Saccharomyces cerevisiae S288C: one gene and its partner. The protein of the gene in region 1 interacts with the protein of each later gene in a biochemical or structural test. Each region holds a gene or a part of one and is shown in the gene's direction. Other genes may lie near its edges. The genes, in order: PRX1 and SRX1.

The links.
Region 2: the proteins of PRX1 (region 1) and SRX1 form a complex in vitro, tested with the Saccharomyces cerevisiae proteins (one study listed by BioGRID).

Annotation. Positions count from the first base shown.
Region 1 is NC_001134.8:99,848-103,395, reverse strand, and holds PRX1 (thioredoxin peroxidase PRX1), read left to right. Parts: upstream 1-2,239; coding exon 2,240-3,025; downstream 3,026-3,548. Other genes in the region: KIP1 (Kip1p), read right to left, coding at 1-1,510; SEF1 (Sef1p), read left to right, coding at 3,281-3,548. UniProt on the Saccharomyces cerevisiae protein: Thiol-specific peroxidase that catalyzes the reduction of hydrogen peroxide and organic hydroperoxides to water and alcohols, respectively.
Region 2 is NC_001143.9:276,084-279,164, forward strand, and holds SRX1 (sulfiredoxin), read left to right. Parts: upstream 1-2,197; coding exon 2,198-2,581; downstream 2,582-3,081. Other genes in the region: phosphopantothenoylcysteine decarboxylase complex subunit CAB3, read left to right, coding at 1-915; cytochrome c1 heme lyase CYT2, read right to left, coding at 1,106-1,780; malate dehydrogenase MDH1, read left to right, coding at 3,040-3,081. UniProt on the Saccharomyces cerevisiae protein: Contributes to oxidative stress resistance by reducing cysteine-sulfinic acid formed under exposure to oxidants in the peroxiredoxin TSA1.

The DNA of each region.
Region 1 (3,548 bases):
GTTTTTCCTTTTCAGACTGTAAAAGATTATTGATATCTAATTGGTTCAGGTAGTTTTCTTTGAATTTTTTAATTTGTTCTCGCAGGTTATGTATTTTTAGATTTTGCTCATCAATCAAGATAGAATTGCTCTCGTAAAGGTCCAACTGATCTTGAGTTATAAATATACCTTGTTTGTTTCTTGAATTTTTCAAATCATTTCTTAATTTTTCAATCTCTTGAATGTAGTCTTTGAGACATGTATCCTTCGATAAAGACTGATTTACTTGTGGAGTATTCTTAATTGATTTGGCTCTCGTTGCATATTCTAGCGTACTTGCAGTCTCTTCCATGGATATTTTCGCAGGTGATATAGTTGCGATAATGCATGTTTTCGTCATACCACCTAAAGAGTCTTGTAGCAATCTTGTTAGCTTAGATTCTCTGTAAGGTATATGGTTAGAATGATCAACGAGTGCGTTGATAACACGGCCTAGTGTTAGCAGCGATTTGTTTATTAGGCCAGCTTCTTGAGCCCTTTTATTCTCCGCACCCGATCTGTTGATGTTTTCACTGCCTGCCAAATCCACCAAATTCAATTTGCCAATTTTAACAAAATTTTTGTTTTGTCCATGGTCTTTGCTATCTTGCTCAACTATGTTTGTTGTGATTGTAAAGACGGTGTGAGACCTTGATGAAAGATCGTTGCATTTAGTAGCGGCCACTTTCCTTTTTAACGAACCCTGCATTAGCAAATTCAAGCCTTCGTGTGCAGAGTTAATAAAGATTTCCTGCATCCCCTTGACCATGATGGATGAATTATTGTTGTTATTGTCAAAAATACGAATCTGCCTCTTGGGATCGTTGACTGCAGGATCATCGTCCTCACTATCAGAGAGCAGATCTTTCAAATTTTCATTGTACAACTCTAAAAAGGATATTTTTACGGAGTACTCTTTATTTAAGGAGCTCAATTCTTTAAACAAATCGACCAGAACCCGTGGTATGATACCTGCATGCTCTCCTAATAATAGATTATCGGTAGATTGCACATCACCGAGAATATTTATATCGCCAGACATAGTGTAGGTTTTACCTGTTCCCGTTTGACCGTATGCAAATATTGTACAATTGTACCCGTGCAACATTTCCTTAATGTAGTTTTTTGCAGTGGCATTAAACACTGTTTCCTGGTCAGATTCTGCGCCGAACACCTGATCAAATTGGTAAGTTTTCTTCGAGGACGAATACGATTGGTGAGAACCGTTGGACAGAATGATTTCTTTCCCTTGTGGGCCTAGTGTAGATATAACTACACTACTTTTTTCCTCTATTTCTCGCTTATTACGCGATCTGCACCTTACATATACATGTATATTGGAGTCTGAAGTGGCAGCACCATTGTTACAGGTGGGCGGCGTTAGAGTGTGCATCCCATTTGAAAGACTTGGAGATGGAGCATGTGCAATGGTCCTCCTCTTGTTCGCTTCGAACTGGGCGGTGCGGCGGTTGGGCAAGGAAGAACGAGCCATGATTGTTTAACTATCTCGCCATATTTAGTGAGGGAAGCGCGAACTGTCGTTGATTGTTTATGTGTTTATTTTATGTTTATCGTTCTTAGAGGGTGGCGCGCACTGTGCGCGCATATGTGGGCCATACGCAGACATATATAAAGAACTAAGAAAAGGTGAAATGGGACTCTACGATGGCGCTAATGGTAAGGTCTCTTTTCTATTTGCCTAATTCAGATACAATATATAATTGCCAACCTCAAAGAAGAAGAATTATGGGCATATTGACCTTCTCCGGTTTCCCTCCCGCGCTCTCGTATCCGTCTGCATTTGACCTCGAGCAAGCGCTCCACTATGTCTATATGTTTACCAGTAAAACTTCTTAACGTTTGTGATATTTTTTGAACTTCAACCACATTCAGTATGCGTGTGTATATAAAGATATTCCTGATAGCACTATGTTTATCTTTATACAATATACAAAAGGTCACCCAGGACGAGCAGCGCGGCTATTTTTCTATCATTCCGTGAATAGCGACCAACGGTCGGCGGCTATTTTTTTTTTTGCAATTTTTTCGGGATGGGTTCCCCGGCAAAAGCTAGCCCCGGAGATTTTTAATTACGTAAAGAAACAAGGGGCCGGATGTTGCTGCTATTGGTATATAAAGAGAGAAGGAGAGATATAGAAAATTGTGCTTCTAGATTCTCGCAGTAGGATGAGATAAATTTCAAAGAAGCAGGAAGCAAAGGATGTTTAGTAGAATTTGTAGCGCTCAATTAAAGAGGACGGCATGGACCCTTCCTAAGCAGGCTCACTTGCAATCACAGACGATTAAAACATTTGCCACAGCACCTATTCTGTGCAAACAATTCAAACAAAGTGATCAACCAAGACTAAGAATAAACTCTGATGCTCCTAACTTTGATGCTGACACAACGGTTGGTAAAATCAATTTTTACGACTACTTGGGCGACTCTTGGGGGGTCTTGTTTTCTCACCCAGCAGATTTCACCCCTGTCTGCACCACCGAAGTCAGCGCATTCGCCAAATTGAAGCCGGAATTCGACAAGAGAAATGTTAAATTGATCGGGCTTTCAGTGGAAGATGTTGAGTCCCACGAAAAATGGATTCAAGACATCAAGGAAATAGCAAAGGTTAAAAATGTTGGTTTCCCAATAATTGGTGACACTTTTAGAAACGTGGCATTCCTATATGATATGGTAGATGCCGAAGGATTCAAAAATATCAATGATGGGTCACTGAAGACCGTGAGGTCTGTTTTCGTCATCGATCCCAAGAAGAAGATTAGACTGATTTTTACCTACCCTTCCACCGTCGGAAGAAACACTTCTGAAGTGTTAAGGGTAATCGACGCCTTGCAATTGACTGACAAGGAGGGCGTAGTAACTCCAATTAATTGGCAGCCAGCTGACGATGTCATTATTCCTCCCTCTGTCTCCAATGATGAGGCGAAGGCTAAATTTGGTCAATTTAATGAAATTAAACCCTATTTAAGATTCACCAAGTCGAAATAAGCTTTGAAATAAACGACTTTACTATATACAGGTATATGAAGTATCTCTAACTAAAACTTTTATCTATCTTTCATTCTTATTATATCTCATCTCGTACGAAGGGCCGCTCATTGGATCATTTTTCTTTACATACCGTAAAGGAATGGCGTTAAAAATATATATATGAAAATGCATGTAATAAACTCTCTGCAGAAACCTTAATGTCAAAGGTCCCGTATACAGATTATATTGGCTCTGCGTATACGCATTCTCGTCATGGTGAAGGATAATCGAGATTCTGACCAAGACCAAGATTTTAGTTCTGCTCACATGAAAAGACAACCGGAGCAGCAACAGTTGCAACAGCACCAGTTCCCAAGTAAGAAACAACGAATATCTCACCATGATGACAGTCATCAAATCAACCATAGACCAGTTACCTCATGTACACATTGTAGACAGCACAAAATCAAATGCGATGCTAGTCAAAATTTCCCTCATCCTTGCTCCAGATGCGAAAAAATTGGTCTCCACTGTGAAATCA
Region 2 (3,081 bases), on another chromosome or scaffold:
ACTGCAAAGGCGGCGCCATTATCGGCTAATAACTCCACACATAAAAACAAGGAAGTTATCACTGCACCCACAGGGCCTCGTGTACCCTTCACAGAGTTCTTTCAGAAGGAAGACGACAAGAAATTCCACATTCTCATTGGTGCGACGGGCTCAGTTGCCACAATAAAAGTACCTCTAATTATTGATAAACTTTTCAAGATATATGGGCCTGAGAAAATCTCTATTCAGTTGATTGTCACAAAACCCGCTGAGCATTTTTTGAAAGGGCTCAAAATGTCAACACACGTTAAAATTTGGAGGGAGGAAGACGCTTGGGTATTCGACGCTGTGAATAAGAATGATACTAGCTTGAGTCTGAACTTGATATTGCACCATGAATTAAGAAAATGGGCTGATATTTTCCTGATTGCGCCTTTGTCAGCTAACACACTTGCTAAACTGGCCAATGGTATATGTAACAATTTGCTAACTTCTGTGATGAGAGATTGGTCACCACTGACCCCAGTGTTGATTGCGCCTGCAATGAATACATTCATGTATATCAATCCTATGACAAAGAAACACCTGACGAGTTTAGTGCAAGACTATCCGTTCATCCAAGTTTTGAAACCGGTGGAAAAGGTATTAATATGCGGAGATATTGGTATGGGTGGTATGAGAGAATGGACAGATATTGTAGAGATCGTTAGGAGGAGAATCAATGAAATACGGAAAGCTAGGGACGAGGAAACTGGTGATAAAGAGCAAGAACAAGAAGAACAAGAGGGTGCTGACAATGAGGACGACGATGATGAGGATGACGAAGAGGATGAGGAGGACGAGGAGGAGGAAGAAGCTCTAAATGAAACAGCATCCGATGAGAGCAATGACGAGGAAGACGAAGAGGATGAGGAAGACGTGAAAACCGAAGTTTAAATGCATTAGAAAAGAGTATTTTGTGTTATGTTTTATGTTTTATTTTTTTTTTTTTTGTTTATTCCTTAAAAGAAGATTACTGCTTTTTCATTCCCTAGTTTCTAAATTGAGTGCCTAAATAAGATTAAATAAATATGTATGTGGAAACTAGGGAGGGTATGTTTTTATTTACAGGAATAGTTGTAGTAATTCAAAAGCCTAAAGATTTCCAGAACCGTAATCTAAAGCCCTCAAAACTGTTTAATTTTGGTCTAACATCGAGATAAATAAGTGGTTGTTGCTGCGAGTTTGCATCGTTCAGATCGGTGGAATAGAAATCGATTACGTAGTCGACGGTTTTACCGCATCTATCTATCTGCCAATCATGTCTATCAAAAGGTTTGGCCAGGTGCAAGATACGGGACCTGAACCAGGCCCTTGGTGTCAGTTTTTTGGAATCACCTTTAAAATTTGTTAATTTGATACCGCCACACGCTTCACCACCCTGCTTGTCTTCCCAGCTTTTAATGTAGTTCCAAACCCGCTCATTGATGGAGTTATGTAAAGGCACAACCACCTTCATGTCATCTGAGTTCGGATCCCAATTTTTTTTCATCATTGCCTCGTAAAATTGTTTCTCCGACGGGTATATCCAGTTTCTGTCAGAATTCGTCCTTGGTATGGTGGAAACCTCTCTGGACTGAGAGAGATCCACCGTGGTGTGATATTCAGGCGTTTTATCGTTATCTTGTGGGTTTGCAGAGCACTCTAGTTGATTGCCTGGGGCAGTAGCACCAGGATGCGCTTCGTTGCCATGTTCTCGTAGCCATAACTTTTTGGTTTCCTCATCTACGGGGCATTTCCCCTGTTGGTCTGAAGACATCATAATATGTAAAATAGAGACGAATGAAAAGCACGTGAACTAACAAACTATTTACTACTACCGAAATGTGATGCTTAAGCCTTTGGCCTCTGCAATACTAGCGATTGCTTTTTCCCTGATTAGTAAGCTACATCATTTATACTACATCTTTCTGTCTTAGAAGGCTTACAAACATCGAAAAGCTGGAACTTTGATTTCGAAAAAAATATGCCGTTACCCGTTGCGGGTCCCTTTTTTTTAGAAGGCCGGCCCAGAAGTCGCCATTATTTTTAGTCATTACAGTAGCCCTGTTGGGTAAGGATGCGATGCAATACATGTCAAGAGGTGTTGTATATAAACCACAATATCTACCATCAATGAGCTATATATACTTTTCTTACTGAAAAAAAAAACTACAAAACCAAGTAAAAAAAGAACAATATGTCACTACAAAGCAACAGTGTAAAACCAACAGAAATTCCTCTCTCAGAGATCAGACGCCCCCTAGCGCCTGTGTTGGATCCTCAAAAGATCGACGCAATGGTGGCCACAATGAAGGGCATTCCCACCGCTAGCAAGACATGCTCTCTAGAACAGGCTGAGGCGGCTGCCTCAGCCGGGGAACTGCCGCCCGTGGACGTGCTGGGCGTGCGAGTCAAGGGACAGACGCTATATTATGCCTTCGGCGGCTGCCACCGTCTACAGGCATACGACCGCCGGGCTCGCGAAACGCAGAACGCCGCCTTCCCCGTGCGCTGCAGGGTGCTACCGGCCACTCCCCGCCAAATCCGCATGTACCTGGGCAGCAGTCTCGACATCGAATAATGATTACGCTAATAACACTACATAAGAAACATAGATAAATTATAATTCACTAATACAAAATCCCTCAATTTAATTAATCAATTTCTTATTCAACAACTAGAGTAGGCACTAGCAGTTTGTGCGACCCTCGGCGCCGGAGAGGTACAAGGGACCTGGCGGTTGGGCCTTCCTGCCAGCTTCTCCCCCCCTTCTCGGCATTCACTCAGCGTTCATTGGCTCAATCACGCGCCAAGCGGATTCCCAGAAAAATACAAAAAAAAGTTGCCATAATACAATGGCGGATATTACAATATATATAGCTTGCGCTTTAAAAAGAAGTGTTAGCACGCATTGGGTGTTTGTACTGTATTCCTCCACTTAAGATAACGAATACACATATAGATATACAATATATTATACGTGGACATCTACGGAAAGGAAGAAAAAAAACAAAAGGAAAAGGAAGGATACCATATACAATGTTGTCAAGAGTAGCTAAACGTGCGTTTTCCTCTACAGTT